Linked DNA regions of Macaca fascicularis. The protein of the gene in region 1 interacts with the protein of each later gene in a pairwise test. Links are inferred from orthologs where the notes say so. Each region holds a gene or a part of one and is shown in the gene's direction. Other genes may lie near its edges.

What was found.
Region 2: the proteins of SH2B1 (region 1) and NTRK1 interact in a two-hybrid assay, tested with the Homo sapiens proteins (2 studies listed by BioGRID). The link is inferred for Macaca fascicularis from reciprocal best matches to the Homo sapiens genes SH2B1 and NTRK1.

What each region holds. Positions count from the first base shown.
Region 1 is NC_088394.1:27,607,252-27,611,552, reverse strand, and holds the start of SH2B1 (SH2B adapter protein 1), read left to right. Parts: upstream 1-1,476; 5' UTR 1,477-1,698; intron 1,699-1,791; exon of another isoform or gene 1,792-3,565; intron 3,566-3,945; exon of another isoform or gene 3,946-3,949; 5' UTR 3,950-4,032; coding exon 4,033-4,301. UniProt on the Homo sapiens protein: Adapter protein for several members of the tyrosine kinase receptor family.
Region 2 is NC_088375.1:104,195,884-104,198,590, reverse strand, and holds part of NTRK1 (high affinity nerve growth factor receptor), read left to right. Parts: intron 1-1,754; coding exon 1,755-1,995; intron 1,996-2,614; coding exon 2,615-2,707. UniProt on the Homo sapiens protein: Receptor tyrosine kinase involved in the development and the maturation of the central and peripheral nervous systems through regulation of proliferation, differentiation and survival of sympathetic and nervous neurons.

The sequences.
Region 1 (4,301 bases):
TCCCAAAGTGTTGGGATTACAGGCGTGAGCCACCGCGCCCAGCCATCTTTGAACATTCTTAGGTGAGTCAGGATATTTATCCATCTTCCCCTCTTGGGTTATTTGTCTTCGTGTTCCAGGATGGGCACTTGATCCAATCAGCTACTCAGTTCTGGAAATTTCATTGGGAATCTCAGAAAAGAGACATGCTTCTTCTAGGAGAGTTGCTAAGCTATTAGGGTTCAAGCTTGGAGCTACAAAAAGCCATTTTGCCACTGAGAGAGGAGAGCCTGCCTGAGGGTGAAGCCAAATGCACCGGGAAGGCAGAACCAGAGATGGTGAGCCGCAGAACCAGAGATGGTGAGCCACAGGTTCCTGATCTCTTCTGGCCCCTGTGTTCACCTGTCTGGAATCTGTCTGCTCTGGACTTTTCGATTACTTGGGCCATAGCTTCCTTTATTGTTTAGGCCAGCTGGAGCTGGGTCAATGAGAGACTGGATGGGTGGAGGATCTCACTGTGCTCATGCTTTCCACTACCCTCCATACTTTAATTGTTCTCGATTTCTCTAACTGGCCTTGATGTCTCTTCTGATCTCCAGACCACATGCCCACAGATGTCCCAAAAGCACGTCTGAAATTGACCTCATTATTATTGTTGTTACTATTTTTGAGACAGAGTCTCGCTCTTTTGCCCAGGCTGGCAATGGCAGTCTTGGCTCACTGCAACTTCCGCCTTCCGGGTTCAAGCGATTCTCCTGCCTCAGCCTGCTCCCAAGTAGCTGGGATTACAGGCGCCTGCCACCACGCCCAGCTAATTTTTTTTTGTATTTTTAGTACAGACGGAGGTTTCACCATGTTGGTCAGGCTGGTCTCAAACTCCTGACCTCAAGTGATCACCGCGCCCGGCCCTGACCTCATTAATTCTTTTTTTTTTTTTTTTTTGATAGGGAGTCTAGCTCTGTTGCCGGGCTGGAGTGCCCTGGCGCCATTTCGGCTCACCGCAATCTCTGCCTCCCGGGTTCAAGCTATTCTCCTGCCTCGGCCTCCCGAGGGGCTGGGACTACAGGCGCGCGCCACCACGCCCGGCTAACTTTTGTATTTTTAGTAGAGACAGGGTTTCACTATGTTGGCCAGGCTGGTCTCGAACTCCTGACCTCGTGATCCACTCGCCTCGACCTCCCAAAGTGCAGGGATTACAGGCGTGAGCCACCGCGCTCTGATCTCATTATTTCTACCTCCCATCTTCATTTCCAGTTTCAGAGATACAAACTCCCGGACCGCCTGCCTCTCCTCAGATAAACCAAGGTCGTTAAGTTCAGGCTCCGCCTCCCCACAGGGCCGCCCCAAGGTCAGCCGCTTCTTCCCCCGCTCAGCTCCTTGGGGGCGTTGTCCGCGTGCCCCTCCGCAGCGGGGGCCGGCGCTCTAGGCTGCAGCGGGCAGTTCACACAGCCTCATCATCTCGCTGGTTTCCGGTGCTCGGCGGCTACTCTAGCCCTCAGCCGGGCCCTGGGACTCTATCCCCTAAGGCGGCTTCTCTATGTTCTACATCGTCCCTTTGTCCCGAATTTCCTCCGGGAGGACGCTCTGGTGGGATCCAAGCCCTTCCCCCACCGCGTCTGTGGCCGCTTTTAGGTGCAACTGGAGAAGGCACTGAAGCCCTACGAGATTCACACCGTCTTCGGTCTCCCGGGGTCGGCGCCGAGCGGGAGAATGGCGGAAGTAAGTATGGAGGTGCCCTTCCCTCCCGCCGCTCTTCTCGATGGTCGCTTCCGTCAGCGACGGGAAAGGGGGTCCTGGCGCCTGCGCGGAACCGGGCTGGGCGCTCGTCGCGTAGTGGGTGGGGGCGCAGGGAGCGGGAGTCGCCGCTGCCGCCGGAGCTAACCGCGGGGACCGAGATGCAGGTGGGACCGGAACCGGAACCCCCCTCTTCAAGTGCCTCTTCCCTCTCCGCGACCCGGCCCTGGCGCCCGAGAGGATCCCTGGGTGGGGGTGGGCGTGGAGGGCCGGGGGCTGGAGGGGCACTCGGCCCCGGAGAGTGCAGCAGACAGGGCTGGTCCCGAGGCGGATGCGGCCCCGGAGAATGGGCGGCTGGGGGGTGTCCAGGGAGTAGGGTCGGGTCGGAGTGGATGGACCACCGGGCCCGGAGGGTCCGAGCCAAGAGCGGAGCCTGCACCCTCCATCACCCGCCCTTCGGGAAATATCAGAACTGAGCCAGGAAGCAGGTGCACCGGGAAACTGTGTCTGAGTCCTGCTTGGCAGAAGAGAAACTGAGTCACCAGCTTAGGAGCCGCAGGGTCAGCGGGCCTGAAGGGGGCTGGGTCTGTCTGCGGTGCAGAGGGTTGGGTGGGCCTGTGTGAGCGGAGGTGGCCGCTGGCTGGAGATTGGTCTGCACCTCTTGGCTGGGTTCCCCCCTGCTCCATGACTCCTGCATCTCCTGGCTCTTTCTCGTTGGTTTGGAGTTGTCCCTGCGGTTGGAGCCATCTGAGCTTGTAGGGTCGAGGCCCAGGAGGAACGGGAGGGTTCGCCGACTTACAGCCTGGCTGTAGGTTTGAACAGGAGTCTGAGGTCGCTGAGGGTTTGAGAAGACTTTCCTGAGCTGCCCTGGCCCCAGTCCTGGGGCTGTCACCTTCCAGTATTGCGTGGGGGGAGGAGCGCTAACAAAAGAGCCAAGGGTTGTAAATTCCACACCCAGCTCTGCCACTTTATAGTTGTAAGACCTTGAGAGGGCTCTTGCTATCTCTAATTTCTCTTTTAGAAAACTGGAACTATAATGTTTTTCTCCCACATGAAGATAGTAACAATGGCAGTCGTTTAGCGGATGCTTACTTTGCATTCAGCGCTGACATATCCCATTCCATGTAATTCTCTCAACATTTCGAGGGGGGAGGGATCATGAGCTCTGTTTAACAGATACAAAAACGGAGGCTCAGAGAGGACGTGGGATTTGTTCAAGATAACATCGCTTATAAGGGGGCTGGACTGGGCACTCATAAGGTGGTTTCAGCCCTGGTCTGACTCTAGTCCATGGCCTTAACCAGAAGGCTAACCTGCCTTTAGGGCATACTCCCCAGTGGGAGAAGAGGAAGGTGAAAAATCCTAGGGCCCCAGCTCTCCCTGTGATGTTTTGTTTATGTGAGGCCAGCAAAGACTTGACCTGACCCAACCTAGTTGCTCCTCTGGGGTCCTTGCGGCCTCTGGCCCCATACTGAAGGGATACCAAAGAAGTGGGCTGCAGCTATTTCAGATCTCCTTCACGCAGTGCGTGTGTGCTGGATTCTGGGGTCAGCTTTCAAGACAATTACTGTTTTGGTCCGTCATGCATCCATCCTTCTTAGTGAATCGGCCCCCTTCGAAGAGCTGGACCCTAAGATGTGTGAGGCAGGCTCTCTAAGGTCTAGAGTCCCAGCTCCCCTCTAGCCTCCTGCGAGCTAGGGCGGTGAGGTGCTATGGCTGAGGTTGGCCCAGCTGGTCCCTGGGGACAGGGACTGTGGAGAGGGGAAAACAGTAGACTTGGAGTTCTGAAACTTTTCTGAGCTTCGGTTTCCTCATCTGTTCGAGGGGTCTTTGAAACCTCTCACAGGGAAAGGTAAGATAACCAAGAGGGAGCCTCTAAAATGGCTCATGGGAAGTGTGACATGAATATTGGAGGATCCGACGTAGAGAAGAGGGGTGATCTGGAAAAGTTCTCTTTTTTAGGGGGAAGGTGCTCCAAAGCCCTCTACCTCTGGATCCAAAGCTAAGGAAATTGGGGACAAACGCGGCAGGCTGGGGCAGGCTGCTGGGGAACCAGTTGGCTGGGGCCTGCGGGGTGCTAGGATCTGGGAGAGGGAAGGGAGGTGTTGGGCTCCCTTCCCCATGGCTCTCTGTGGAGTCTGCAGTAGGGATGAGCATCTCTGGCTGGGGGTGGGATGCAGCCCCCAGTGCGCCCTCAGCAGTGACCCTCGTGTGTGCCTCTCTCTTCCTTCCGCAGCTGCTGCCGCCCACCCCTCGTCTTCTGGCTGCCTCCCTCTTTGTGCCCCGCAGGCTCCCCCTCTCCACCTCCTGGGGCCCATCATGAATGGTGCCCCTTCCCCAGAGGACGGGGCCTCCCCCTCGTCTCCCCCACTGCCCCCACCCCCGCCCCCTAGTTGGCGGGAGTTCTGTGAGTCCCACGCCCGGGCTGCGGCTCTGGACTTTGCCCGCCGTTTTCGCCTCTACCTGGCCTCCCACCCCCAATATGCGGGGCCCGGGGCTGAGGCTGCCTTCTCCCGCCGTTTTGCTGAGCTCTTCCTGCAGCACTTTGAAGCCGAGGTGGCCCGGGCCTCTGGCTCCCTGTCGCCACC
Region 2 (2,707 bases), on another chromosome or scaffold:
ACTTCAAGAAACGTGCCTGTTTCACAGATAAGGCTTAGAGAGGTTCGGTGACTTGCCCAAGGGTACACAGGTAGTGAATGGCCCAGGGGTGATGTGACCCCAGGCAGAGCCCCTACTCTCAACCCCTGATGTGATGGTCACATGTTCCCTTGGTCTAGTCCCTTGGTCTACTCCCTTGGTCATCTTCTGATGAGATCGCCCCTGGGAGGATGGGGCAGTGTTTGCAAGGCAGGGAGAAGACCAGGGTTTGGAATCAGCTGCCACTTATGAGCTGAGCCTTCTTTGCCGAGTAGCTTTCCCCTCACTTTCCTCACCAGTAAGAGGGACAGTGGAGGGCTGTGGTTCTGGATGAGCAAGCGCTGTGTGGTTGTCCAGCTGATGGTCATGAGCTGGTCCCCAAACATCCCCTTGGGAGTGATGGGTCATTCATACAGTCAGGTGGCAGGACTCAGCTAGGAGAGAACCCTGAGTCTTGGGCTTATCGTGTGGACCAGGAGGGAGCCCATGCAGGGTGTGGAGCAGGAGGCGAGGCCAGACCCAAGGTTGAGTGTGGAGGAGGATCGGCAGAGAGGAGCCCGAGAAGGCCAGGGAGGAGCCTATCTCTTTGCTCCCAGACATGGCGTAGGCTCAGTGCTGGTCTTGAGGACACAGGCTAGGGAGATACCACCATCTGGGGCCCAGGCTGTGGGAGATGAGGCTCTAACTGCTGGATGGAACACTGGGGGAATCAATGGAGGGAATCATTAATGCTCAGAGATGAGTCTGGAAGACTTCCCCTAGGAGGGACCATCTGTTCCTTCTCCCCTCCAGGCCTTTGTACTTCCAGTTCCCTCTGCCTGGAGCACTGGGCCTCCCTCCCTCCACAGAAAGATGGAGACAGACACACAGACTCTACCCCTCCCTGCCTCAGCCCCCTTCGAATGGCTTCAGGAGCTGAGTTTCAGTTTAGGTGTCCCTTCCTCTAGGAAGCCTTCCCTGGCTTTTTCCATTCCCACCCGTGCCTGCCAGGTGCCCCTCACACTGCACTGCCATGACCTGCTTATCTGCATCATACTCTGCGCTGTAGCCCCGGTGCTTGGCACGTTGGAAATGTTTAACAAATGCCTCAACTAAACGAATGAGGAGAAGATTGGCTAGTAGGAAAGGGCATTCTTGGCAAAGTGATCGATTCAGGCAAAGGTTCAGGAGAAGGAACATTGGGGAATACAGATGAGTGACTAGGACTGACCCAAGTGTTCACTGTGGGGAGAAGGCAGGCATCCTGGACACCTTCAAAAGTAAGGAAGACCCTGTAGGAATGGCTGGTCACTGAGGGCAAAGGGGAGAGAGACAGGACAATCAAGGACTCCCTGGTTTCAGGGTCTGCCTGGGTGGGGAGGGTCCCTTCCCTGAGGCAGGGTCAGGGTCAGGCTCAGGGAAAGACACTGAGCTGCAATTGGCAAGGGCTGAGTCTGACGTGCCTATGGCAAGGGATGTAGGGGCCAGTGGGCATCTGGAATTCAAGGAGCTGCCAGAGAGGAAGGCATGGATGTGGGAACTGTGAGCTGTCTCTGGTGGAAGCCCTGGAGGTGGGCACGCCTGTTCTGCTCCTCCGTCCCGCCCCTCTGGACAGCTGCCTCTACTGTTCTCTCAATCCTCCACTACTAGGCCCCCAGTCTCCTCTCCCATCACACCTGGCTGCTGGGGATCGCCTTCCTCAGGCTCCTGGGGATTCTGTCCTCCCAGCCTATCCCCACTCCTTTTCTTGTTCACAGATCCCATGGGCCTGATGCCAAGCTGCTGGCTGGTGGGGAGGATGTGGCTCCAGGCCCCCTGGGTCTGGGGCAGCTGCTGGCCGTGGCTAGCCAGGTCGCTGCGGGGATGGTGTACCTGGCAGGTCTTCATTTTGTGCACCGGGACCTGGCCACACGAAACTGTCTGGTGGGCCAAGGACTGGTGGTCAAGATTGGTGATTTTGGCATGAGCAGGGATATCTACAGCACCGACTATTACCGTGTAAGGGTCCTTTGTCCCCAACGCCTTCCCCTGACTCCAAACTGTAGACTCCCTGGATCCCAAGACCACTGAGAGCCTGCCCTTGCTAGGAAGCCTGCAAGGGTCTGAGATTCACTGGCTCTAGTTTTCAACCTACCTCCTCAGCCCCCACTGGTGGGGATTCTGTCTCCTTTGCTGTCCTGGTCGGAAACAGCACCCTTCAGTTTTTGCCTGTTAGCACTGAGAGGCACATCTGTTTGTTTATTTATTTAATTTATTTTTTTTTGAGACGGAGTCTCACTCTGTCGCCAGGCTGGAGTGCAGTGGCACAATCTCGGCTCACTGCAACCTCCGACTCCCTGGTTCAAGCGATGCTCCTGCCTCAGCCTCCCGAGTAGCTGGGATTACAGGTGCCGCCATCACGCCCAACTAATTTTTGTATTTTTAGTAGAGACGGGGTTTCACCATGTTGGCCAGGATGATCTCAATCTCTTGACCTCGGTCTCCCAAAGTGCTGGGATTACAGGCGTGAGCCTCCGCGCCTGGCATATTTATTTTTAATGATGGGGCAGGGGTGAGCTGTGCCTTGACGGGCTGTCCCAGGCGCCCCTGGAGTTGACGCAGCGCCCGCCCACCACAGGTGGGAGGCCGCACCATGCTGCCCATCCGCTGGATGCCACCCGAGAGCATCCTCTACCGCAAGTTCACCACCGAGAGTGACGTGTGGAGCTTC